Linked DNA regions of Elephas maximus indicus. The protein of the gene in region 4 interacts with the protein of the main gene of each other region in a pairwise test. Links are inferred from orthologs where the notes say so. Each region holds a gene or a part of one and is shown on either strand. Other genes may lie near its edges. The genes, in order: LONRF1, TMSB10, ZMAT1 and ALAS1.

Region 1 (7,343 bases), on a different chromosome or scaffold from region 4:
TTTTTTCATCCACTGATTTTTCAGAAGTATATCACCAGTCTTTTTTCTCCAGAATATAGCATATGCATTTAGTATACCTAGATTCTTCAGAGTGTTAAAGAAGAATTCAGAATAGTATCCTTGGTAAGGGTATTGTCCCTTGAGCATTTTCACAGTATCCCTTGTGGGATAACAGTGTAGTTTAACAGTGAGCTGTACTTGGTGAGACAGAAGTCATTGTAAGAAATTAAGTTTAGGCTTCTACTTACCATCACCTCTATTTAACCTATTCAGGTTATCCTCATTCGGGCTCTTTGCTGAGAACACCATTATAGCAATCATATACTGTGTATTTTTAGCATCTTATATAAACTTTCTCACAAATGCCCAGATTATATAACCAGCCACTCCTCCCCCCAGAGGCTTACCTTCAGCCTCTCACAGATCTACAGTAGGGACAAGGAGGGGGGTGTGTGTGTGTGTGTACGTGCACGTGTGAGTGATCCCTATCCAACCACTGAAAAAATTTACGTTCCAGAGTTTGATTTCCCCTCTGCTGAGCAGGGCTGAGAGCTCGCTAAAAACAAGTGTGCTCCTTGGTTCCCTCGTCTATTCTCAGCCTTCATCTTCTGCTGTTACATTTTCATCAGGTGTCACATTGCTGTGTTCCTGAGTCTGGGAGGCTCTGCCTCTTCTCACTGGATTCCGACAAATTCCTGGGGCTCAGCTCCAGAGGTGCAAGGGACCTTAGAGATCCTTCCAGTTCCCTCAGATGGCAAATGAAGCCCAGCGAAGCCAGGTGAGCTCCTCCCAGGTACAGAGGCATCAATACGGTCAGCACCACGTCCGGATGCCCTCTTCGGTATGCCTTCTAGTAAACCAGCAGCTTCTCGGATCTTAGCTGTCTCCTGTATAAAATGAGGGCTGTGAAGAGGTGGTCTCAATGCCCCTCCCATCTGTATATATAAAAACACTATTGGTATGTACTGATGAAACTTTAGAGTTCACTGTTTTCAATATATCGTGTAGAATGTTATCCACTGAAATGAACCAGAGGAAGTGGAGGTAATTTTGCTTGGCTCTTTTTCTTCATAGCTTAAACTCAGTCTCCCCTTTTTAAAGATAAGATGTGAAGAAACAAATGATAAATTCACCCATGTAAAAAAAAAGAGGTTCCAATGCACATGTTCGGCTAACTTATGTACAAGGAAAGCCCTGTTACATTACTGCTAAATAGAGTTTACTTTAACTACATCAGAACGGTCTTCTTGTGGCGTGGTGGTGGGGGGTGGGGGACAGGGATAAGCAGGAAGGATGGTGATAAGCATTTTCCAAATTAGGAAACAGTTACGTGTTTCTTGGTACTCTCTTACATAACTGATCTCATTTTAGAAGACAACACTAAAAAAACTGAGATGAAATACAAATCTCCTGATTTCACTGCTTTGTGAGCAAAGAATATCAGGAGAGAATAATGCTGGAAGGAAAAAGAGGCAGAGCTTCGCCCCGTCACTCTCCTCCTGGCCAAGCGCTGCTTCACAGAATTTCCTCCTCTCCCCAGTGAGTCAGAAACCAAAGTCTAAATTTTAGAAAATGAATGAAGAAAGACACCAACTTCTCTCTCTTTTGAATTTAAACAGAAACCACATTCAACTGCATATCTCTTTTGGGTGACACAGAATAACTGGAGAATGACCCGTTCTATCGCCGAGACATCGCCGAGACTGCCTTGCCCCACACTGACTTGCGGCTTCAGAGGGAAGGTGTGCGAGGCACACAGACCACAGCAGCAGCACAGCCTCTTACATAAATAAGTTACATAAATGCGAAGGAGTTATGTAAATGTATAAACCAGAAAACATCAATTGTAACCATTCACAAATGCCAAGGAGAACATGGCTAGATTCCTCCTACAGCCCCCCCCCCTTTTTCTCACATTCTCATAATTGTGCCATTTTATTTCACAACAGAATTAGATTTGGAGATTTGTCATACTTATGAGGGAAAGAAACTCCAAAGGACAAATGCTACTTCACAGTCTTTTCTGAATCACACATTTGACTTTGGGGGGAAATTCCCTAATACAACCGGAGTAATCTGTATTTGGTAATTTATGCATATGTATCAATGTCTTATACTCCTTGTGTGACCATAAAAACATCTATTTATTAAATATTTACCACTGTACATTGTTGCAAGTTGCTCTTGATGACAAGAATGCACCCTAAAAGTTAATGTTCACAAGCATAGGGATATTTTTTCTGGGACTTACGGTTTCAAGTCTCAAATGAGTGTGTGGGCATCTGACTAACGTCATTGTTTTGCTAATTGAGAGAAGGTAGCAATGTAAAGAGTTGGGATTAGATTTGAGGTTATGATCATGAATTAATCACACTAACCCCTTCCCCCAAATAATTAGGAGTTGCCATTTTTTTTTTTATAAACCCTGGTGGATACCCCGGTGGCATAGTGGTTAAGTGCTACGGCTGCTAAACAAAAGTTTAGCAGTTCGAATCCACCAGGCGTTCCTTGGAAACTCTATGGGGCAGTTCTACTCTGAATCGACTCAATGGCAGTGGGTTTGGTTTTAGTGGGTTATAAACCCTGGTGGCTTAGTGGTTAAGAACTACAGCTGCTAACCAAAAGGTCGGTAGTTCGAATACACCAGGTACTCCTTGGAAACTTTATGAATGTAGTTCTGCTCTCTGCCCTATACGGTCACTGTGAGTCAGAATTGACTGGACAGCTATGAGTTTTATTTTTTATAGGGTTGCTATGAGTTGGAATCAACTCGATGGCAATGGGTTTTTTTTGGGGGGGGGGCTTAGCCATAATTTGCTTTGGGTGCCACGTGAATGATAACTGAACTTGCTTTCCTCTGCACTGGGTTGAAGCAGGAGCCTCAACTTTTTCTCAGTCAACTCTTCTTCCTCATACCTTCTGGGGAAACAGAGCTACACCTTCTCTGAAATTACATGATTTGCTCAGTGTGTAGTAAAAACAAACGGGATTGAAAACGTGGTTTTGAGTCCTAACTGCTGTTGTGTGTAGAGGGGTATTAATTAAATATTAGCCAATTTCAGACAAAGCATGCTCAGGTTAACATTCCAGTAAGCAACTCCCTTTACTTTGGAAATCTCGTGTAAATTATTTCTAGAATCTAACGTAGGAACATAATAGTGGAATGAGAATTAGATGACCTTAAAACCTCTGTAGAATATTAGCCGTGTGATTTGGGGCAAATAACTTCCCCTCTCTGGGCCACCATTTTCCATTTGAAAAAGGACTAAAAGTTCTCCAGTCACTTCCGGCATTGACAATCTAGTATATAATCAAATCTATAAACGTTTTCAACTGAGAGCTTTAAACTTGCCACTGTCAAGTTTAATTAAAGTCAATATAACCCATTATATATAAATCAGGTCATTTTCTTCTGTTGTCAAAATGCAGACCCTGCTTGGGTCATAGTGATATAGTAACCCTGCCATATGAAAAGCATTTTTTCCTCATTTCTTTTTAAAACCACCCCCTATAGACCTTTTTTTTTTTTTATAGACCTTAGCCGGCACTGGGGGCAGTGACTGAGGTGTGGCGAATACAGCTGGCATACCAGAAACCTGTGGGCTTCCCCCCTCGAGCTAGGGGCTGGGTTTTAAACAGGAAAAGCAGTAACTTGGCATCAGGGCTAACTGCCTTGCTCTCTGGAGGGCAGTCGCCTTAGGAACGTGGCTGGTTTTGTTCGTTTGTTTCTAAAGTTTTGAGTCACCAAGTCATGCGGCTGACTTGACGCATCCCTAAGCCCTCTGCCTGTACATACCATCTGTAACTTGGGGCGTAAAGCAGAGCTGCACCTGACGACGGCCCCACCACGCGTGCAGGCTCCCACCAGCCAGGAATTGGGGGCGGATCCTCGGGTCCCCACCCAGGTGGGCGGGCGTGTCAGGGGAAGGTCGGTCCTTCAAGCCTCAGACCCGCGAGGCTGGCTGCCCGGCCGGAGGGCCGGCCGAGCAGGGGCTGGAGGAGAGACGAGGGCAGAGGGCCTAGCAGGTGGGGAAGTCCGGCGGTTAGGGAAGGGGAGGGAGGTCCTTTGTTCGCCAACAACTAGCCGGGCCCTTCTTTCCTCAGAAGCCAATTGGATCGGCGCTGGGGGATCATCTGACCTCGGTCCTCGCCAGCAGGGGCTCGCGAGGGGCGGGGGCCGCGCGGTCGGTTGTCGCCGGCCGAGGGGGAGCCGAGCCCGGCCCCGCCCCGCCCCGCCCCGCCCGGCCCGGCCCGGCCCGGCCCGGCCCGCCTCCGGGGCTTCCCGGGCGCGCGCTGCCCGCCGTGTCCGCGCGCCACGCCCCCCTGCTCGCGGGCCGCGTGCGGAGCCGCGCGCCCCGGAGGCTCCGGGAGCGGGGCGGCGGCGGCGGCGGCGGAGCAGCAGCCGTCCGCGGGCCATGTCGTCTCCGGCGGTGGCGAGGAGCGGCCCGGGGGGGAGCCGCGAGGTGGCCCCCCGGCGCTGGGCAGTGGGCGGCGGCAGCGGCGAGCGGCTGGAGCGCGGGGAGCTGCTGCTGCGCCGCGGCGAGCTGCTGGCGCTGGGCGGCCACCTGAAGGGAGCGCTGGAGGCGTACTCTGCGGCGCTGCGCCGCGGGGCCCCCGGCAGGCCCGAGCGCCTCGGCACCTTGGTGGACTGCCTGGTGCTCAACTACCGGCTCCGGCACGGGCTGCGCTGGAGCGCGGCCCCGGCTGCGGGCGCCCAGGCCGGCGCCGCCGGGCTCCTGAGCTGCCTGGGCTGCCGGGGCTTCCTGAGCGAGCCGGTGACCGTGCCCTGTGGCCACAGCTACTGCCGCCGCTGCCTGCGGAGAGAGCTCCGCGCCCACTGCCGCCTCTGCCGGGCCCGCCTGCCGGCCGCCGGTGCCCAGGGGCCGCCGCCCCCGGCCGCCGCCTCGGGCTTCAGGACCAGCGTCGTCCTCAACCACCTGGCCGAGAAGTGGTTCCCGGGCCTGCGGGAGAGGGCCCGGGCGGCCGGCCGGCTCGGGGAGCTGCTGCAGCAGGGGCGCTACCGGGAGGCCCTGGCCGCCGCCTGCGAGGCGCTGCGAGCAGGTGACCGCGGGGAGCGGCGCGGCCCGGCCCGCCCTCCCTCCTCTCCCGTCTCCGGCCCCTCGGGTCCCGGGGTCCGCGCGGGTGTGGGAGGGGCGGCGCCCCGGAGTGCTTCGGTCACAATGGGGATCGCCCTCGGAGCCGACTGTGACGCGGCGCGGGGAGGGGCGCACGGGCGCGGAGTTCCCTCGCCGGCTCCCTCGGCCAGCGGCCACCGCCGGGCGTCCGGAGCGGAGCGGGGGCCCGGGGCCGAGGCGGCCGAGCGCGCGGTGGGCAGGGAGGTGGGCCAGCCCGAGCGGCCGCCCGCTTCCTGCCGCGCTTTCCGGGAATTGGCCGCCGCCGCGCGGGCCCTGGGGAGCCCGCCGCGGGGAACGACAGCCGGGGCGGGAGAGGCCCCCACCCGCGGCCAGGCGTGCAACGTTTACCTTCTTCTCCCACAAAAGTCACCCGGGCAATGGGAGCCGCGGGAGGGCGGAATTGCATAAGCTTGGGGGGGGGGGGAGTTGTGTAACGGGTGACGTCCGGTGGGCGTGGCGGGAGCTCCTCTGGCTCCGGCACCCCAAGGCTCCCCTGCCGGGCCCCGGCTTCGGGCGATGCAGGCGCTGGCCGGGGCGGCCACCCCTTGCCTGAAAACGCCTTCAAAATTGGTCGCTCTTCTTGAAGGTTTCCACCTTCCTGTTTCAATTCATCTATTTCATATACGCATATGTTTGTTTTCGAATGCACCTAGCTCGTCGTTGTAAAGACAGAGGCAGCCTTTGATGGAGTACTTTGCCATGCTTTTGTGTGCCTTTCCACTCTTGATCAAACTGTGGGGAGAGCTTTGTAGCTCTGTTGTCTGTTTCTTCATCCCCTGGAAGCTGCTTCTGTCTTCTAACTTAGGCTAACACTTTGCTTAAGGTACCCTTAGTCTGCTGGAAGGAAGCAATGGCCAACGCCCCTCCGTAAAATGAGGTGTTCTTCTAAGTCGATGTTTCTCAGTTGGAGGCAGCTGGAGGGGGGGTTCTTCAGGACAGTTGGCCACCAGGATAGACTTTTGGTTGTCATAACTTGGGCTGGCACTGGTGGTACTAACATCTAGTTGATTAAAGTCAGTATGCTGCTAAGCATCACAGGACAACCACCCACCACAAAGAATTATCACGCCCCACATGTCAGTAGTGGCGCTGTTGATAAGCCTTGTGTTATATAAGCGTATTTCAAGAGTTTAGTGTCTATATATTGGAGTAAGGAGCCCTGGTGGTGCAGGTGCTTAAGTGCTGGACTGCTGACCCGAAAGGTGGGAGGTGAGCGATTGGAACCCACCAGCCACTGTTGGGGAGAAGATGTGGCAGTCTGCTTCCATAAAGATTATAGCCTTGGAAACCCTATTGTCCTATAGGGTCCTGATAAGTCAGGGTCACTGTGAGTCAGAGCTGACTCAACGGCAATGGGTTTGGTTTTGTTTGGATTTGTATATTGGAAAGGAATAATACTTAGGTGCGTATTTCCAAGAAAATAAGAAGACATTTAAAATACAATGTTAGGAATTAGGTAAATTTATGAACGATGTACCTGAAAGTCTATTCTGGTTCGTCTTTTCCCTAAGTGCTTAGTCATTTTGAACTAGTGACAATAACTTGAATAATTTAACACTTTCAGGGTTCAAAGCGCAAAGTCAACATATTTCCATTTTCGTTCAGTATCGTTTTGAAGAGTAGGCACTTAGAAAATAGAACGATAGACTCAGAACAGATGACATCTATCTGGAGTACAGAATTCGTGTATGCAGGGCTCTGCCTCTTGGAGGGGCTAGAGGGAGAGTGGGGAGTGATAGACTCAGAACAAATGACATCTATCTGGAGTACAGAATTCGTGTGCGCAGGGCTCTGCCTCTCGGTGGGGCTAGAGGGAGAGTGGGGAAGCTGGTCTCAGCTGTGCAGCCCATGTAGTATCTCGCCATGGGCCTCATTTTAAAAAGGAAGAAGCAGGAGCCTGGCAGTGAAATGGCTGGTCCACACCCACGCAGCTAGCAGGTCTCCTAACTGTTCTGCTCAGTGTTGGTCCTCTTCTCCTAAATGTTGGTCCAGGATCCATAGCTGCCTTTGTAGCTCATCCAATAAAAATGTTTAATATAAATTTCCAAAAAAGTTTTTTTTTTTGGTCACCAGTATAATTTTTTGAGCATAAATTAAGAGGATGCAACTTACCAACAGCACTATTCAGTATTAACTACTACTGAACTAATGATTATAACCTTCTCTTAAGTTAATAAGTGTACATTCTTGCATCCCTTGAATTCTTAG
Region 2 (5,759 bases), on a different chromosome or scaffold from region 4:
TTGTTCTAATGTCTTCTCTTTTAAACTCAAAAAGGAGGCCTCTTCGAGACTTTGTGACTTCACTCAACTTTCCACATCCCTGATTTGATCATTTTCCTGTTTCTTCCCAGTCTTGAAATCACCCGTCCTCTCCTGGTATGCGTCCTCTCCTGGTATGCGTCACAGCTATGAGGAAGCCAGAGGGAAACAGCGGGACTATAAAAGCTTGTCAAAAACAGATCCTGCTCTTTTGGAAAATCATTTTCCAAAGCAGCTTCCAGGAATGACCCAGTGGGGTTAAATTTTACCTGGATTTTTACCAAAACTGCATTATAAGCAACAGCTGATAACCCAAGAAATCTTCTGGGGAAAGAGACAAAGCCAAAATTACAAATGGTCTCTCAGAGCCAGCCATTTGTTCGACCTCCCCCACCCCCGCCCCGCCCCGCAGCAGGAACTCAGACTCCAGCGCGGAGCTTTGCTACAGAGGGACTGTCCCTGCACGCTTAACTAAGAGACTCAGACCACGCCAGCCATGCCACGAGGTGTGTTTTATTTTCATTAATCATTACAAATAATTTTCTATAATATCCAGGGCAAACCGGAGAATTTGGTAGTCCCTTCAGAGACCCACAGGCCGGTGGCATCGGAGCGGAGTGCCCGGGTTCACAGTGCAGTTTGTCGCTCGTGCCATCTTGCAGGTGGCTTTTCCTCCACATCACAACTTGGGTCTCAAAGATGACGGGGTTGGAGAATCCTCCAGGCTCTTAGGAAATTTCACTCCGCTTCTCCTGCTCAATGGCTGTGGAGAGCGGGAAGCGAGCATTGGGGGAGGAAGGCACCTCGAAAATCCCCAACGGCGGCGCCTACAAACCTGGTGTGGGCGAGGCACCCACGAGGCCTGGGGATTAAGAAAGAGGCTTGGGGCTGGGGAGACAAGGCACTTTGTGTAATATAAAGGGGGACTGGGGCTGCCCAGGCCGGGGACATGGGCGGGGGGACCCGGGTTGGCACGGGAAGGGCGGGTTGGGGGGCTGGGCTGGGGGCCCGAGGGCCTGGAGGCGGGGGCGCACTCACTCTCTTTGGTCGGCAGGGTGTTCTTCTCCTGCGTCTCCGTTTTCTTCAGCTTGGCCTTATCGAAGCTGGCGATTTCTCCCATGTCCGGCTTGTCTGCCATTTTCTTAAAACGATCCTAGTGGGCAAACCAAAGCGGTCGGCGTGGCGCGCCGAGGCTGGGGGCCCGTGTCCCCCTCGGCGCTCTTGGCCGACGCCTCTCGACGTGGCACTCCTGCCGGGGCGTTCCCGGCAGCCCCAAGGCCGAGGGTCTGGGCGCGTCCCGCAACCCCCTCGGTAGCCCTCGGCCGGCCCGGGCGTCCCGTCCGGGAAGCCGCCTGTGGCGGCGGCAGCGCGCCTGCCGGGTGCCCGGCTCCGGCTCCGGCCCCACCGCGGTCGGCCCCCGCCCCAGCACGGCGCTCACCGAGGCGTCCCGCTCCCAGCCGAGGTTCCGGGTGCTCCCACTCGCGCCGCTGCAGCAAGAGACAAAAGAGCGGCGCCCGCCCCTCGCCTTAAATACTCCGCGCTCCGCCCCGCCCCTCGGCCGCCGCAGCGGGGGCGGGGCCGGCACCGGAGGGGCGGGGCCGCTGGGCAGCTCACCTCCCCGCCGCGCCTTTCCCCCGACTGCCCGCGGGCTGAGGCGCTGCTTCTCCGGCGCCCTCAGCTCGCCCTACCCCCAGGTTGGGCGCCTCTGGCGCCAAGGCCCCGGGCTTCATTCTCTCCCCCCCGACCCCGGCCCGCCCCGCCCCGCTGGGAATCTGCTGCTTGCCCCGCAGAATGGGCGTGGAGGCCGGCGGGGGAGGGGTGTGGGTGGGGAGTGTGTGAGTGTGTGTGTGTGTGTGTGTGGTTGTGGGTGTGGATGTGCGAGCGTGCACGCGTGCTCTGCGGCCATCCTTGCTGGCAGAAGACACCCCACCTCTGTGTGGTCCCCAAGTCTCTTGTCTGTGCCCCTCCAGACCCCTCCCCCGCCCACCCTTTTCCTTTCTTCCGGGAGGCTGAGTCCTTGCTGGGTCTCGCACCAAAACGGTCCGAACCGAGGGCTCTAGAGCTGAAAGGGAGGGCGGGGAGAGGTGGACCCATAGGTTGCCAGTGCCCTTTGCTCTGGTCGGGGGCCAGTTTCCCTCTTGTCCCCCTTCCCTGAGCGGGGCGGGCCCTGCAGGAACCATGGCGGCGGGTGCTTCTTAAATGCTTGTCGCCTGTGTTGTCTGAAGGGTGGTGGTGGGAGTGGGGAGTCCCGAGAGGGCTGAGGCCTTTCCCAGGCTTCCTAGGAGCACTGGGTCGGAGGGTGCGGTTTTCCTCCTTGAGTTAACCTTGAAGATGCTTAGATCTGTATTCCCGGAAACGTTCTTGTTTTTCCTATTAACCCAGTAGAGCAGTGGCAGAGTGCAGTTATTCAACTCTTTCAGCTCGTGCAACACCTTTAGGTAATAAATTCCATACATTTACAACCCACGGGGTGAAGCTGGTCATTGTTTTGTTTGACCTGAACTTTCCTTTTGCAAGCCTTAGGGAGTATTACTAAGTTCTGTTAAGGAGGGGTTTGGTGGGAACATCCTGAATTCTGTCCAGTCCCTTCCTGATTTTATCTACTTTTCTCACATGCACTTAGTGTATTTGGGACAGTGGGGGAGAAGCTTAGGCTTATAAGTTTGGCAAAGGAAACTCCTTCTGTGACCTTGGGCAAGTCTTTTCCTATGCCTCAGTTTCTTCATCTGTAAAACTGGGTTGATATAAAGCTTAAATAAGGAGCCCTGGTAGCACAATGGTTTATAAGCCCATGGCTGTTAGTCAAAAGGTCAGAAGTTCTAACCCACCAGTTATTCCAAGTGAGAAAAGATGTGATGATTTGCTCCCGTAAAGATTACAGCTTAGGAAACCTTATGGGGCAGTTCTACTCTGTCATATAGGATTGCTATGAGTTGGAATCAACTCACAGGTACACAGCAGCAACAACATAAAGCTTAAATGTGATAAAGAACAGGCATTAAGTGGTCGTTTAATGTGGCCTCACACTCTCACTTTGTGTATCAGTCAACTGTTACTACAAAAATGCTATGTAAGAAGCTACTCCAAAACTCAGTGGCTTAAAATAATCATTTATTCTTGCTCAGGCATCCGTATGTCAGCTGGTGCTGGGCTGGGCTAGGCTGAGCTTGGCTCCAAGCTTCGAATTGCATCCAGGTCTGTTCCCTGGATCTCTCATCCTCTTTAGACCAGGGCACTAGCTGGAGCTTGTTCGTCTCAGGGTGATGGCAAAACAGCAAGAGAGCTGTGCCACAAGAGATTGTAGACATGTTGAAGTATGTATAAATGCACTTCAGGCCAGCCTCATGTCCTCTAATATTCCATTGGCCAAAGCAAGTTATATGTCCAAATCCAACATCAATGGGGTGAGGAGATACCTTCCACTCATGGTGGAGGGGGAGAAACACAATATTCCCTGAACAATAGTCCAACTTCATAGTCAGGGAAGGCGAACTACTGTGACAAATAGCCCCAAAGCAGCTTAATACAATTAAAATTCATTTACCATTCATGCAACTAAGCTGGTGTTCCTGGTTCAGCAGGTCTCCTACATGTAGTGATTTAGGCACCCGGGTCCCTTCTTTCTTGTGACTGCCCCTCTCTAAGTCCTGGAAGTCCACTCCATTTAGTCAGTGGATGGGGAAAAGAAGGAGGGGATGGAGGGCTGTGCTGGCAGTTTTATGGTCCAGGTTTGCAAGTAATCTCCATCACTTCTGTCTTCATCTCTTTGGCCAGGACTCAGTCACATGGCCTCATCTAATGGCAACAGAGGGTAGGAAATGCAGTCTAGTTGAGTGCCCAGGAAAAAAGAAAGCAAGGTTGGATGTACTTGGAGCAGTCTCCACCATACACTGTTGAAGGATCTGCCAAAAATTGAGCTTAAAAATATCAGGACACCAAGACAGTGTCTCTTTGGAGAGCTCCACTGGCACTCGATTCCTTTTCAGATGCAATGCCAAGCATTACTTAGGCATCGCCTTCTTGGCTCCCCATCTTTAACCTAAACATGGAAATATTCAATTTTCCTAAGTGTCTGAGTTTCAGTATTATTCACTCAGTGAGTGGTCTTCTAGCTGAGACCTTGCCCTGAATATTAAAATTACTTTCCATGGGGCAGAAATTTCATAGACCCATGGTGAACTCCAATTCCAACTTCCCTTTATTTGGGAAACAAAGAAATCGGTTCTTCTAAATATATAGGTATGGAGACACAAGTTCAAAGATAGCAAGGACGCAGGATTCTCAAACAAAGGAGCTTTAAGCAGGCTGGCAGACATTCCCGTTTTTCCTCAGTGCAGCTCTGTGGCCCATCTCTCAGAAAGCAGGCAACCTCTTTGGCATTTGTTACCTAACAGTGGTCAGATTTATTAGTATCAGCCAGTCCCATGGGTAGTTGTCGTCAGGTGCTGTTGAGTCAGCTCCGACTCACAGCAATCCTGTGGGTCAGTAGTGGTTTTAAAACATCTGTATGTTCTTTATACCCCTCACACCGTTTGAGAAGATGTATCCTGTTGGTGCACAGTGATGGGCAAATCACATTGATTAAGGGGAGGGTTGCACAGCCAATTACGCAAATGCTGTCAATACATTGTACACCTGCAAAAAGTTGAATTGGCAAAAGTTGTATGATAGACATATTTACAGCGATGACACACACACACGTAAATGAGTAGCTGCTGAGGCTGCTTATGTACAAGCAAACACCTCATGGGATTTTGTTCCTTATTTGGAGGTTTAGGATCATGGTTTCTTGGGACATCCCAGTTAATTGACCTAATAGTGTGTTTAGTGCTTCTGTTTTATCTCCTAGTCCTTTGCATAGTGCCTGGGGTCTTAAAAGCTTGAAAGAGGCCATTTGAGGCACAACAACCGGTCTCTAATCACCTGGAACAACACAGGAAGAAGGAGAGCCAGAAATAGGAGGAGGAAATGGAATGTGTGGCTAATTGCCTCCATGAACAACTGCCTCCTTCGCCATGAGACCAGGAGAACTGGATGGTGCCCAGCTACCACTACTGAACATATTGGTCAAAGGTTCTATAGAAAAATCTTAACCAAAATGCGGAAAATGCAGAATGGAATTTCAAATTCTCATGAACTCCAGACTTTCTGGAGCCATGGAGTGTGGGTGAACCCCTGAAACTATTGCTCTGAGGTAATCTTTAAACCTTAAACCAAAAATATCCCGAAGTCTTCTTAAAACCAAACAATAGTTTAGCTTAAGTAGTAAAAAATGTCTGCATCGACTATTACGCTCTTTTAAGATCTATATAGGATCAAACTGACAACAGCAACTTGAAAGATTAGATAGGACTCTTACGGGGCAGAAAAGGAGTTGGTGGTGCACTGGTTAAGTGCTTAATTGCTAACCGAAAGGTTGGTGCCTTGTACCCACCAGCAGCTCTGAGGGAGAAAGATATGTCAGTCTGCTTCCATAAAGATTAACCCAAACCAAATCCATTGCCGTCAAGTTGACTCTGACTCAGAGTGACCCTACAGGACAGAGTAGAACTGCCCCATAGAATTTCCAAAGTTGTAATCTTTTGGAAATCCTGGTGGTGTAGTGGTTAAGTACTATGGCTGCTAACCAAAAGTCCAGCAGTTCAAATCCACCAGGCTCTTTGGAAACTTTGTGGGGCAGTTCTGCTCTGTCCTATAGGATTGCTATGAGTTGGAATTGACTCAAGGGTAATGGTTTTGGA
Region 3 (7,393 bases), on a different chromosome or scaffold from region 4:
CATCTCCTAAATAAGACTTAAAAAAAAAACAAATTTAAACTAAAAATATTCCCTGACTTCTTCTTAAAAACAATTCAGCTTAACTAGTAAAGAATATCTGCCTTGAGCATTGTGCACTTTTAAGATCTATCTACATGGGATCAAACTGATAACAGCAACTAGAAAGATTAGATAGGAAACTTAGCAGGCAGTGAGCTTGTATTAATTGTAGAGGAACAACTCTGAAGAGGAGGGTGAGAATGGTTGCAGAACTCGAAGAATGTAATCAACACCACTGAACTGTACATTCCAAAACCGTTAAACTGGCCTATGTTCTGCTGCGTATGTTCTCAACAATGAAAATAAATTTTATTTTTAAAATTAACAAGTAATGTTTTTTCTCTTCCTTCTTATCCACTATTGTAACCGGCAACTATTTATGGCCTTTATAAATATCTAAACAAAACTATTTTGAGGTCTAATAGTGTTTCTGACAGTGCAATATAGCAAATATTTACCATTTGTTAAATGAGTAGGTAAGAGAGTTTAATTTGGGCTGAACTGTTAGTGAAGGATATTTACTGAAAAACAGAATGATGAGATAATTTTTTAGGTAACAATTATATTTTGTTTTTCACCTGAACTGTCTCAACACTAACTCGACACAGATTTCATCACTCACGGAATGTCCGGTGATTACTACTGGTTACAGTTTCTTACGGTTTACGAATTCCTGTTCTAGTGCACAGCAATGGAAATGCCAGAGAAAGAATCCCAATGCAGAACTGCAAAATCATGGTTTCGACTTTCAGATCTGAAATCAATCTTGGGAGTTTGGCTAGTCCAATTTCCCTATTTCAGACATGTCAAAACCCAAATCCAAGAAACCTGGGACTTGATCAGGGATCCAGTTTATCTAGCGGATAAGCTAGCAACAGAACCTATGTTCACTGCACCAGGATTCTCCTTATTTTACCACCTAGCACAGAATAGTTTGGTGGTAAAATAAGGAGAGTTAGGGTATTTCTGTTACTTTTTTAAGTGGTATCTCTTAAACTTTTAATATGTATATTCAAAAGCACTGCAAACAAACCAGTTGCAGAGCCAGGCAAAAAGATGTCCCCCTCCCCTTGAGATACTGGTCCTAAACCTTACTGTGAACAGGCTATGAGAGTCAAATTGGATTATGATCTCAACACTTACAAAACTGCTCTGGCCTACGTGCAGGTAACAGACAGGAACTTTGGTGTAAAAGCAAGAAATCAGGAGATTTCATGTTTTCATCCGAGAACCAGTGGTACAAACCCAGGCTGACTGAAGATATTGACGAGTTTTTCAAAGGTTGCCTTCAGTAAGAGCATCAGCAAATAAAACATCACATGACAGTGTATTTCTAGCTTCCATTTTTACTAAGTGGCATTTATGTAATGTGCCTGTTACAAATATTAGAAGGGTTTTTTTTTTTCTTTTTTAACTGCTTTGCCATTCTTCCAAAGCGAAAGGTGTGAAAGGCTATAGGATAGCACCCGGGATGGATCTTTTAAGAATGTGAAGAGAGAATTATTTTTACGGGGTTATTTTAGTGGGGAGTCTAAGAAAAAAATAAATCATTGAACCCTATTTTGGCGCGCACGATCTTTCACTTTGGCGGCAAGGAGCAACATAAAGTTAACACGGCAAATACTGGAAATTAAGAAATTAACTACGGCAAAATGCTTTACTGAGATCCTCTGCACTGGAATCAGTCTTCACCATCTAAGAAGCATTTCGAAAACTGTTTTAAAACACATTCCAATGGCATATCTTACAGTTTCCTAGTAGTAGGCTGTTTACAAGTATATAGTACTTTGTGTGAACTAAGTATCACTTATATTGATAGCCAAGAAACAGCTTATCTTCTGAACAGTATGTGTTGGTAGGTACAACGGCACTTATTAAAATCCAAACCACCTTAAAGATGGACCTGTAAACCTTGCTTTACAAAGTTACCAACCAAGGAAAACTCTCCAAAGTGATTCCTGAATTCTTAACTTCTACCGCACTCTCTTCCTCTCCTGGTTCTCCAGCAGAACCCCCTCCATCAGACCCTACGATCCTAAAATACAACAGATGCTACTTTAAAGCTCAAGTGGACACTAACCTTTCCAAATGCCTAACCACATTTCTCCTTAAATATCCTGCTCCAAGTTTCGACACCGCAGAATGTTGAATTTCTTTGGCCTTTTCTCTTTTACCTGTCCCCTCAACCTTTGAGTTTCTCCCTCAGTCCCCTTCCCTTTTCCCGACCCTCTAGTTCCACAGCACTTCTACCTTGCCTGCGCTCTTTTCCAAATCACATCTCGGCGTCTTATAGCTGACGAAGGCGTCCTGGCTGGGAGAGAAATTGTTTTGTTTTGTTTTGTTTGTCCCTTCAAACTCCTGCCTCGTGAGTACCTGCAGTTTCTTTTCCTGGGGGCCCCCATCCTTTGCGGGAGGGACAGGTAGGGAAGCCCTCGTTTGCTTCAGTCCATCTTGCACTTTCGGGGTTTATACGGCGGGGCGGGGCGGGGCGAGCTTGGCCTGTGCTGCGCCACAGCAGGTGGGGGGTGGGGCGGTGGCGAACCGCGCCCAGCTCCAACTGCGAAGGGCTGAAGGGAGGCAGCCGCGGAGATGGGGCTGCTCCCGCACCCCGGGGCGGGAACTCACCTTCTCTGAGGCAAGGGCGGGGGTCTACTTTAAAACTACTGCCCCCCCACCCCGCCGCCGCCATAGTGGAACCTCCAAAGCCGCCGCCGTCTCCACGGCCACCCGCGGGCGGCCACGCAAGGGTGGGGGTGGCGGAGGAGGCAGGCACTATCGCTGCAGCCGCCGCCGCCGCCGCCGCCGCCGCCGCCGCCGCGGCCGCCGCCGCGCAGGCGGTGTAGGAGGAGGAGGAGGCGGCAGAGATGGTAGCTTCCTGAGGGGCAGACTCCGCCGCCGGCGGGATGACTGTGCTCGGCGCCGCCATCGCAGCAAAGCGCAGACAATTGCACTTGCGCCTCGCTCCCCTTAAGCTCCTTTTGCCCCTCCCCTGAGCCCCGCCTCCTCGGCCCCTCTTTTCCTCGCTTCAGCTCCAGCCTTGTTCTCGCTCCTTCTGCCCACCAATAGGAAAGCTTTAGCCCCACAGCCCGACTCCTCCCTCCCCCCCCCTTGGCGTCATTCCACCTCCCTCTGGAGGAGAAGGGTTGGTGGCCAAGGACAAAGGCCAAAAAACGCGGGATGCGAAAGCACGTGGGACCTCACACAATGAGGCGTCTTTCCTTGGAGGAGGTAATCTAAAACCAGTTTAAGAAGAAAAAAAAGAAGTCTGGGAACCTGTCGCTTCCATCTTCAAAATATCCTTGAAATATGGCTCTCCCTGTCTTTTAGCCGTTAGTAAGTAGAATAGAAATAAACAGAAGGCATGGCGAATAACACATCGTCATCAATGATCCATAAACAACTGCAGTCTACCCATGTTCAAGTATAATACAGTAAACGTCTGTGAATCCCGTATCCAACCAAAGAACTAGAATATTACTGATAATTTAAATCTCGCCATCTTGTCCCTCAAGCTTCTCAAAGAATCCAATATCCTGATTCGTGTTTATTATTCCCTTGCTGTTTTTACATATATTCTTATCTCATATGGATATGCCTAAAGAATGTTGTTTACTTTTGATCGTTTTCAAATTTCACAAAAATTCATATCCTTTCTAGGTAGCACTCTGAGACTCGTTATTTTACTAAGCATTTTGTTTCTAAGATTCATCCATGTTGTCACATGTAGCTATACTTCATACATTGTAAATGCTATACAATATCCCATCCATTTCCCTCTTGATGGACATGTCTCCTGGTTCACTTGTGCAAAATTTCTCTTGGGCATTCTCTCCTTTCCAGTCTCACTTCCACTGTCTTATTCCAGGTCTTCATCATTTCTTGTCAGAAATATGGCAACTGTCTGCCTTTCTCTGGTCTCAGTCATTCGAATCTACTCCCACATTGCTGCCATTCATCACTTACTGGATAAAGTCAAAGGGCACAGTTTTGCACGTTTCTCTTTCCCCAACCATCCTGATCTCATCTGCTTCCACTGTTGCTACCTCTCCACTCTGCTTTCATTTTAATTTAGTAATATTAAACCTTTTTGCAGATTCCTGTAAATACATGCTGTTTCATGACTCCATGTAATGGTATATGTCGTTCCCTCTGCCTAAAATTCCCTTTTCCCTGCACTAGGCATCAGTGTAATTAACACACTTTGAAACCCAGATGAGACATCATTTCCTCCAGGTAATCTTTTCTGTCCATGTTTAGTGTTAATCCCACCCTCTCCTGTGCTATACCTGTATATTGAGCATATTTATCTTGTAATGAATTGTACTTTGTGCCTCTCTTTTAATAGCTTGGGGTAATTTTGAGACAAAGGACAGTATTTCTTATTTTTGATTCCTCTTACTCCAGCACAATAAAGCCCTAGGACAGAGGTCCCAATCTAGTGATCGCTAGACCACATCCAGCCCACATATATGTTGTGTTTTACCTACATGATTGTTTATTTACTTACGTGCCAACATTTGAAAGGAGGGTTTTATGCAAAAAAAAAAATTCTTAAAAACATTTCAAAATTTGGCTGTTTGGGGCTTGCATTCTTGGCTGGCAACGATTGGCTAGAGCTGAATAAGAAATTCAGAGACTTGGAATACTGGGTTCTTAAGAACATATTGTTCTTGTGGTTCACTAGTTTACCTAAAGTTACTTGACTTGGTGGGTGGTTTCTCTAGCCCTCCGTTTTGTCCTATAAATTAGTGTAACTTTTACTCATCAAAGAAATTACTGGATGGGCCAGGCACAAGGTATATTCCAATGAAATAGCTACTAGGACAAAGTAAATGTCAAAAGGAGGTGTAATATTATTCCTTGTGATATGAGGGGGGAGTATCCCTCAACAGCATTGTTTCTCAAAATATGAATCATATTTCATTTGCATAACAACTATTCAATCAAAATCTCTGGGGGAGTGTGTATCACTCAGGATACAGTCAGCACAACAGAAATTGCTCTGTATTTTGAACAGAAAATATTTAATATTGATAATTAGGGACTAAAAAACTGGAAGAGTTAGAGGAGAAAAGCTCAGGGAACTTTTCCAGATATTATCAGCTGGCACTTTGAAGCCTTTCCATCCCCTTCTATGTTCTCCCCGTGTTGCAGAGGTTGGAAGCCATGAATTACATTTGTCAATTTCCCAGACTTCTTGGCCAGCAAAATTCTGAATGTGGTTTAGATATGCATTTGTATACCTAAATCATATGTATACCACCAACAATATGCATTCATATGATTTTTTTTAAGTATAATGGAGGTAGAAGCCATTTCTTATGTGGACTTTGGCAGCTGTAAAACATAAATTTTTGTGGTGGCCTTAGTATTCTTCTGCAGCTCTTGCATCCAAAGGCTTTGGAGGATCTGTGAGAATAGCAGGGGTTTTCTGCAGTTCCTTGACCTCTGTGTGGCAATAGCAGTTGCGCATCTCTTTGGACTAGAGCAATCAAGAAACATTTGTTGAATTATGGAATTGCTTCTTTCCTAGGCTCTGTGGAAAACTTCTTATCTGCTATTCAACTAAAAAGAGTAGAAAGGGTAGTGGGTGAGATAAAGGAAGTGGTCAGTTAGATTTCTCCCCATTCCTCAACTCCATTTGATGACATGCCACAACAGGAAAACGCCACTAAGTCTGTCATACATGATGGCAATGAGCACACATTTTCCTATCTTGCTCTCTATGACAGTAACACTATTAAGTGAACGCCAGAGCAATTTCTTTCACAGGAGAGGGTGGAATGTGGCAGGGAGTAATAGTTGATGAAAGCCTGCTTGGGCCAGACATTTCTCATAATTTCCCAATCTTCTCACAATAGTGATGTTATATTTGGATCATTTAAAGAACGCAAAACACAGTCTTATGGGTATAACAAACTTTTCCATAGTTACTAATCTAGTGAGTGAAAGGGTCTGTTTACATCATGGCACCACAGGGAGGGGGCTGTACTGGTTGAAATGAATTTTAGCTACCAATGCCCCAAACCATAGAAAGAAAACTGGGAGGCAACTGGGTCTAAAGTGGAGGTAAGAGATGCTAAAAAGAAATAAAGGAGCATATCTTTGCACATCTGAGAAATCAGCAAAAAACAAAACCATATCAGTGGTAATTTTATTATTTTTACAGTGAAACATAATGGTTTATTCAGAATAATATGGGGAAGTCATTATCACCAAACAATATATTTAAAGGCATGTGCAAATGAAAGAAATAATTAGAACCTAATTTAGTGGCAAATAACTAATATGATTGACATAGAAATTAATCTGACTAGCTAAACAGTGATGTTCATTTTTAAAAATAATTTTTATTGTGCTTTAAGTGAAAGTTTACAAATCAAGTCAGTCTCACACAAAAACCCATATACACCTTGCTACACACTCCCAGTTACTCTCCCCCTAATGAGACAGCCCACTCTCTCCCTCCACTCTCTTTTTGTGTCCATTTCGCCAGCTTCTAACCCCCTCCACCCTCTCATCTCCCCTCCAGGCAGGAGATGCCAATATAGTCTTAAGTGTCCACCTGATCCAAGAAGCTCCTCACCAGCATCCCTCTCCAACCCACCCTCCAGTCCAATCCATGTCTGAAGAGTTGGCCTCGGGAATGGTTCCTGTCTTGGGCCAACAGAAGGTTTGTGGACCATGACCGCCAGGGTCCTTCTAGTCTCAGTCAGACCATTAAGTCTGCTCTTTTTACGAGAACTTGGGGTCTGCATCCCACTGATCTCCTGCTCCCTCAGGGGTTCTCTGTTGTGTTCCCTGTCAGGGCAGTCATCGGTTGTAGCTGGGCACCATCTAGTTCTTCTGGTCTCAGGATGATGTAGGTCTCTGGTTCACATGGCCCTTTCTGTCTGTTGGGCTCATAATCACCTTGTGTCCTTGGTGTTCTTCATTCTCCTTTGATCCAGGTGGGTTGAGACCCATTGATGCATCTTAGATGGCTGCTTGCTAGCGTTTAAGACCCCAGACGCCACTCTTCAAAGTGGGATGCAGAATGTTTTCTTAATAGATTTTATTATGCCAATTGACTTAGATGTCCCCTGAAACCATAGTCCCCAGACCCCTGCCCCTGCTACGCTGGCCTTCAAAGCATTCAGTTTATTCAGGACGCTTCTTTGCTTTGGGTTTAGTCCAGTTGTGCTGATCTCTCCTGTATTGTGTGCTCTTTTCCTTCACCTAAAGTAGTTCCTATCTACTATCTAATTAGTGATTGCCCCTCTCCCACCGTCCCTCCCTCCCCCTCTCGTAACCACAAAAGAATGTTTTCTTCTCGGTTTAAACTATTTCTCCAGTTTGTATAATAGTGGTCTTA
Region 4 (7,174 bases):
AGAGCCACTATTGTTGTCATTACCTGTCGGTTGTATTACCATCCTCCCTGACTTACTCCTCCTTGCCCCTGCCTACCCAGCACTCCTCCTCCTCTGAGCCTCCATCACTCCCTCCATATTTAGGCAGAAGGGTTGCTGGGTAGGTCTTCAAATCCCTTCAGAGCCAGAGAGAAACGAAGTCTCCAGGCAAAGGTTGTTAATCACATTGAAAATGTTGGGATTTATGGTAGCAGTTGGCTGGGTTTTTGGCCTTCTGCCCCACCCCTCCTTGTCCCTTCTCCCCTTGCTTTCTCTGCTCCAGCCTCCCTGGCCCCCTCTGTCTCCTCCCCGACACTGGGCTCCTCAGCCTTGCCTGGTTTGTCCCGGACAACAGCTTCTTGTACCATGTCCCAGCCCCAAGGTGGTCCCCTTCCGCCATTCTCTTTCCCGGCGCCCTTTCCAACACTGGTCACAGTCTGTAATGGCTCCTGTCCTGATGTCTGTCTCCCCAGCAGCCTGAGAGGCCAGGGGCAAGGCTCCTTCTCACTGTGCCTCCGGCACCCAGCCAGAGAATGGGCTCAGCCAGCTCCTGTCTCCTGCCTTGACCCTCTTACCTCAAGAGGCCCTGCTCTGACCTGATAGCATGCAAGGTCTGGAGGGGACGGGACAAGCATTTGGGACCCCACCTCTGGGCCAGTTCCTCCTAGAGAGCCCCTCACAGCCAGCCTGACCCTTTCCCTACCCAACTCCCAGTCCCTCCCAAGGACTGCCCCCTCCAGGGGCTCTGAGGGCAGAAGAGCCCAATGTGGGGATTAGAAAGCAGGATAACTGTGCCCCACAGCAGCCCACACCTCACTTGCTATGCGACCTTGAGCAAGTTTTCTTCCTTTCTGGGTCTCAGTCTCCCTGGCTCTAAAATGGGTTAGGGCAGGAGACATACACTCAGATGCCTACAGGGCCAGGCAGGTGTCATGGCTTGGCGGTCACTTGCCCTCAGAGTTTGGACCTACTAAAGAGGGGGCCTGTGGAGAACTGGAGAAAGCATGTCCTGCTCTGTCAACATTGTTAAATGTTGACAACTAATTTGCATTTTTAAAAAGTACTCTGTGGGCCAAACAGAACATGTCTGGGCCTCATGTTGTGGGTGTTAGGGGTCCTCCTGGGGTTCCTGGGGAGGGAGGACAGTGTTTGTTCTCTGGGCATTTCCTGCTTTCTGGGGGGCATCTGTTCTCTGTACCCTAGACCTGCCTCCTTGATGTTTTCCTCCACTCCAGCCCCTTTCTCCCGCAACCAACCAGAGCCTAGCCCTTGCTCTAGGAGCTAGCTTCACAAACCCAGGCCCAGGCCTGCCCTGCCCTCTCAGGCTGTCCCAGGCCAGCTAGAGCCTGAGGGGGTTCCAAAGGCCGGGCCAGGACAAGGCAGATGTGGGGGGCCTCAGAACCCTCCAGCCCTGCCCAACCTCTACACTCCATATAACCTAACGACCCCTTGGCCTGCCACCTCAAACCCTGAAGCTTATGACTCCAACCCTCCAGGGCACAGCTGAGCTGAGGTGTTTCTAGAACCTCTAGCCACTCTGCAGGGCTAAGCACTTGTCTCCTGGCACCAACCCAGTGCTATGTACACAGGCACTGACACCTGAGGAGAACAGCGAGCCCAACCAAGGTCATGCCGAGCATGAGCTGCACGGGTTGCAGGTTTTGTCTCTCTTCAAGGCTTTCTCATTCCTACCCTGGGTCTCCTTGATGGGAAGGCTGGCCGGATTTCTTGTCTGGCTAACAGATGGGGAAACTGAGACCCAGACGATAACAGTAAGCTTGCCCAAGGTGAATGGGTGAATACTGGGGCTGGCGTTGACATTTTTCTTCTGCCGTGACTGCTGGGCTGATGCTGTGTGCAGCAGCCCTTGCTGGTGATGACGCAGACTGGGGGCCTGACCTTGCCCAAATTTCAACCGCTTGGGCTCCTCTGCCCAGGGCCAGGGCGATAAGATAGGTTTGTAGGCTGCTCTGAGGCTGGGGACAGGGAATGAGGGAGAGAGAAAGGGAGGAAGGAGAGAGGGAAGTGAGAAAGGGAGGGGAAAAAAGGGAAGGGAAAGAAAAGGAAGTGATTAGGGAGAAAGGAGGAAGAAGGCTGAACTCAGGAGAGGGATCATCACTCAGGCAGGTGGAGTAGCTTCTACTTCACAGGTATAAAAGCTGAGGCTTAGGGTACAGAGCAATTTGCCCAGATCCCAGGGTCAGAAAGTGGCAGAACCAGGATTAGAACTCATGGCTTTAGCCCTTGTCCTTTTAGGTCTCAAACTGGAAACCACTCAGGCAGTATTTCCCAAAATGTGGCCCGAAGACACCCCACCCCTGCATCACCAGGAGGGCGGCTTGGTTAAAATGCAGATTCATGGGACAGAATCAAAGGGGCAAGACCAGTATCTGTGTTTTAAATAGCATCCCGGTGGTGGGTCTTAAGCTCTGATGCCGGGAAGCCCCACAGCTTGTTTGTAACCTTTCTAATCCAACTTTCCAGCCCCATGTTCCAGCTGCCTTCCTCCCCACAGCCCAGCTATTTGGGCTGACTCACACTGCCCCCCACTCACTCTGACAGGCCTGGGCCTTCCCCACTAGAGACTTCACCTACCAGCCTCCCAGTCTCAAGTAGACCCACCCTTCCAGCCAGCACCTGCCTCTCCTCTGGAAGCCTTCCTGGTGATCTCCCTTCCTTCAGAGCCTGCTGGAGTAATACCCGCCTCCTCCATCTGGAATTGTTTAGAAATTCTATTTCACTTTCCGTGTGAGTATGCCTTGTTTCCCAACCATTCTCTCTATTAAACAGGAAACTCCCAAAGGGCTGGAGCCTTGTTGCTTTAAAAATAAGACTCTGAAACCCATGACTTCACCTAACCCTGTGGCCAACCATTAAATAACAGGGGTGGGAGAGCTTTATAAATGAGGAAACTAAGGCTACCACCAAGTGTAATTCAGAGACAGGTATGGAACCCATGTCCAGTTCCTAAGTCCAGTTCTTTCTGCTTCCACTTTGCCTTTGATCACCCAAACAGCCCTGTGAGACCAGCACAATGGGGATTAGATTCTACTGCACAGATGAGGAAAGTGAGGCCCAGAGATGGGCAAAGCGCTCAGCACCATCCTTGCCTATTCCTACTTCTAGCTACACTTGGGTTTGAGTTTAGGTGCTGATTTTCCTCTTTCTGTCTGCTGGGCCCTGCCCAGGCCCTTCAGCAGAATGAGGCAGAGTTGGGCCTTTGACTCCCAGGCCAGAACCCTCACCCTGGGTCCCTGACCTGGTCCCATTGCCACTCTGGACCCAGGTGCCTCCTCTGCAGATGAAGGCTCACTTCTGGCACAATCCAACTCTAAACTCTGGGCAGGGGACTTTGGACAGACCCAGTGGAAAATAAACATAATAGTTAACATGTGTTAAACCCTAACTATGTGTCAGGCCCTGTTTGTCTTCCCCCTTCTCCCTAGCCCAGAGGTGCTCAGTTAGTTGTGGAGTGGATGGGTTCCATCTGGCCCTGTTCAGTCTTCTCTATGCATCAAGGTTGAGTCTCTTCATCTCTGACCAGAAAGTGCCAAAGCTGGTTCTCCCTACCCTTCTGCCCCCCTCCCTCCCACCACCCTCACCAGCCCCCTGGGCATCCTGGCCCCCAGGACCACGACATCCTTCGGCGCCCCAGCCCCACCTCTCTGGGAAGTCCTCTGTCACATCCCCACAAGGACGGATTCTACTTAAGACCCTGACCCCGACCCCTTGTATTGCCTCCTTCTACCCTGCCCAAGGCACCCATTTTCACAGTTCCATGGAAAGGACAACAACCAACAACAATAACCCCAGTTGACCATAGTGCCACTTCCTCTCCGACCCCTGACCGTTTATGCCCCACAATGGGGGTGTCGGATTCTGAGGGACAGAGCAGTTAGTTGGGGGGCGGTATAGCGTCGCTGTGAGTCGGAACCCACTCGGCCGCAACAGGTTTTTGTTTAGGGCGTAGAGCCTGAGGTCCAGGAAGGAGACCTGGCCCGCCCACCGCCTGGGCGCTGCCTGGCGGCGGGCGAGCCCGGAAAGCCCCCGCCCCAACCGCGCCCATCGAGCTCTCGCAGGCAAGTCTCCCCGCCCGGGCCTCCAGGCTCCGGGAGCGCGACGCGGCGCGCCTGCGCAGAGGGAATCCGCGTTCATGGCGCATGCGCAGCGGTCCCTTTCACTGTATATCAGGGCGACGGCGCTCGCGGCCTGAGGTTTCTCGCGGACAAGGGTAAAGGTTTGGCTCGCTTTCTCGGCTCGGGTGCCAGCCGTCGCCGTCGTCTCCGTAGAGCCCCCCGCGCAGGTGAGGACCCGCGCTCTGGGTGCGGGGCCAGGAGGGGAAGCCCGCGCGTGTCCTGCCAGCCCGGGCCCTGCTCCCGGACGCCATCCCCCACTGTCCGAGCCACTCGCCGCTTCGGGGTCAACTTTCATCCCGAGACTTTTTGCCATTTTGGTCGCCCCAGCTTCCCCCATTCGGTGCCCTCCTGACATTCGCCTTTTAACTGGCCGCTTGAGAATCCCTTCTGATCCCCTTCCCGTTATTCCCAAGCCGTCAGCTCCCGGGTAACCTCTGACCCCCATTCCCCGAAGACCGCCCCCTTCCACCAGATCCAACGCCCTGGATTTTACAACCCCTGAAAAAAAAAAAAAAAGCCCTCCCCGGTTAGCCCCAAGGCGCTTCTCCGCGGATTCCTGCCCTTGTTTATGTCCCCTCTTTTCTCAGTTATGCCCCATTCACCGGGCTGTGGCGGAATGAGCTCATGGAAGTCCTTCCCTCACAGACTTAGGGCCTGCCTGGAAGCCTCCCTAAGATTTCGAGGTGTGGGGAACAGGAGAGGATAAAGGCTCCTAAGGTCCAGCCTCCCCCACGTCCAAGCTGTCAGGGAGCAGAGACAGCTTTGCTTGTTTGAATGGATGACCGTGGTCCTTACCAGCTTCTCTTCTCCCCCTGTGTGTCCACCAAAGTGTCTTTGCTGTGCATCTCCCTCCAGGAGCTTCTGACCTCCCAAACCTGTTCCTGGCTCATTCTCATCATCCCACACCCTATGTTATTAATTGTCAGTATTTGGTGAAGCTGCCTTGCAGGTGTTTTTGTATAGAGCTGGAGAATGAAGGAGGAGTTGGTGACCTGGATAGAGAGTGGTCACCAGCCCTTGGTTGAGTCTCACATTGGTGCCGTCCTTAGTTTTGAGCAAGACTTGTTAGTATCCCAGGGTACCCTTGCTATAAACCGCGGGTGACACCTAGTCCCCGGTGACCTTCGCAGTGGTAGTTGCCTGATTATTAAGAAGTGTTGATGTCACTCGTCAGTCTTTCTACAGGAACCAGTGCACCTCCCGGACATGGAGACTGTTGTTCGCCGCTGCCCATTTTTATCCCGAGTGTCCCAGACCTTTCTGCAGAAGGCAGGCAAATCTCTGTTGTTTTATGCCCAAAACTGCCCCAAGATGATGGAAGCTGGGGCCAAGCCAGCCCCCCGGGCCCTGTCTACTTCAGCAGTTCACTGCCAGCAGGTCAAAGAAACCCCTCCAGCCAATGAAAGTAAGTATCATTGGCAGTAAAATGGGAGGGGGTAGTCTGCACTCATTACTAGACCGGGAGCACTTCCAGTCCACGGTGGCACTGAGGTTCACACTAACAGAGGGGTTACTCTGTGCCAGGTTCAGCTCCTTACACCCGTCACTTCATGGCTAGTTCTCCTAACCCCATAGGAGAGGCACTTGTAGTTTTCCAAACTTTCAAGATAGGACAGTGGCCAGCTTTCTACCTAATAGGTCTCTGGATTGCATGTCAGTGTGTGTTGCAGTTTTAGTGTATCAGCAGTGCCTTATTCATGTAAATATTAAATTGTAATATTTTATTCCAACCTTCATTAAATACTTGGCCTTTGGCTTTTTTTTTTTTTTAAACACGTGTATCTATTTCATATATACTTTTTCATTTTGTTTTGTTTTTAATAAAGAGACCACAGTTGAGTTTAGTTTGGATCTGGCTCTACCAGGAGAGAATGCAGCTTTTTAGATTCCACTTAATCCTAGAAAATACCTTACGGACTTCTCTCAGGTTTGTCCTCTGGGTGTGGACTTGTGAAAAAGGAATTTTTTTTTTTCCTCTAAGTAGAAAGGTGATACCGTGTTTGTAGGAGTTGTTTTCCTCTTTACCATTGTTCAGGAGCTCTGTTGTTATGTCTTTTTACTGAAAGACCGAAATCCTCTTTTATCATTTTGCTCCTAACAGTAGAGGAATAGTTGAGTAAAATGTGGCTTGTCCACTTGGTGGACTACTATGCAGCCATCACAAGTGATGTTCATAAACTCTATTTACTAGCTTAGGCAGATCGTTATAATGAAAAAAGCAGAATAGACAAGTATATAGAGTATAAATTAAAAAGTGTTTTTAAAACATGTACATAGAAAAAAGTTAATATGCTAAAATGTTTGCAGTGGTTGTTTTGAGTGATGGGACTGTGTTTTGGTTTCATTTTCTGAACTCTCTGACGAATATGTATTTTATAATGGGATAGGGAGTTGTCTTAGTGTGCGTAGTGAACTTCAAAGTAATTTTTTTGGTTTTCCTTTATAGAAGATTTTAATGAAAACCATACCCAATTTGTAAGAAGGGCTAGCCAGTGATTCACAGGAGTATTCCAGAATTGATGAAGAGATAAGGAAGGTGAACTAATTCGCTGAAGGGGAGAGGGTAGTCATTGTAACTAGAAGCTTAATTACCAGCCAATTGCGTTAAGTTAATGTACTTCTTTGATGCATTTAGATAAGAAAGTAGATGAGGTGGGTGAATGTAATTATCCCTTTTTTCCTTAAAAAACTAACTTGTATTATTTTTTCCTTAGTGTACTAATATTTGAACTCCGCTAGACAACAGTCTAACAATCTCAGTTTTAATTTAATTTCTTTTGTTTGGAAGAAAACCAGTAGTTTGTATGGTAAATGATAACAAACTTCTTTGTCAAGAACTTCTTTAGAAAATATTAGCAGAGCAAACATTGTATAAACACTTCTAGTTACCTTAAAAAGTGTGTCCTGTCATGAAATACGCTGAATGTACTTAGAATAGAATTTACTGGAAATAATCCAATTCAGGAACTCTAGGTCGTCTAAAACTAGAAAATACAACTTTTTAGTATTTATAAGTGAGA

The links.
Region 1: the proteins of ALAS1 (region 4) and LONRF1 interact in binary tests that used the Homo sapiens proteins (3 or more experiments, as listed by UniProt). The two-hybrid records come from large-scale screens. The link is inferred for Elephas maximus indicus from reciprocal best matches to the Homo sapiens genes ALAS1 and LONRF1.
Region 2: the proteins of ALAS1 (region 4) and TMSB10 interact in binary tests that used the Homo sapiens proteins (3 or more experiments, as listed by UniProt). The two-hybrid records come from large-scale screens. The link is inferred for Elephas maximus indicus from reciprocal best matches to the Homo sapiens genes ALAS1 and TMSB10.
Region 3: the proteins of ALAS1 (region 4) and ZMAT1 interact in a two-hybrid assay, tested with the Homo sapiens proteins (2 studies listed by BioGRID). The two-hybrid records come from large-scale screens. The link is inferred for Elephas maximus indicus from reciprocal best matches to the Homo sapiens genes ALAS1 and ZMAT1.

What each region holds. Positions count from the first base shown.
Region 1 is NC_064840.1:72,302,170-72,309,512, reverse strand, and holds the start of LONRF1 (LON peptidase N-terminal domain and RING finger protein 1), read left to right. Parts: upstream 1-4,341; 5' UTR 4,342-4,415; coding exon 4,416-5,061; intron 5,062-7,343.
Region 2 is NC_064835.1:49,756,136-49,761,894, forward strand, and holds TMSB10 (thymosin beta-10), read right to left. Parts: upstream 1,556-5,759; 5' UTR 1,457-1,555; intron 1,172-1,456; 5' UTR 1,157-1,171; coding exon 1,057-1,156; intron 782-1,056; coding exon 747-781; 3' UTR 514-746; downstream 1-513. UniProt on the Homo sapiens protein: Plays an important role in the organization of the cytoskeleton. Binds to and sequesters actin monomers (G actin) and therefore inhibits actin polymerization.
Region 3 is NC_064846.1:56,256,370-56,263,762, reverse strand, and holds the start of ZMAT1 (zinc finger matrin-type protein 1), read right to left. Parts: upstream 3,017-7,393; 5' UTR 2,966-3,016; coding exon 2,413-2,965; intron 2,382-2,412; exon of another isoform or gene 2,290-2,381; intron 1-2,289.
Region 4 is NC_064838.1:56,393,069-56,400,242, forward strand, and holds the start of ALAS1 (5-aminolevulinate synthase, non-specific, mitochondrial), read left to right. Parts: upstream 1-4,168; 5' UTR 4,169-4,321; intron 4,322-5,328; exon of another isoform or gene 5,329-5,339; 5' UTR 5,340-5,360; coding exon 5,361-5,559; intron 5,560-7,174.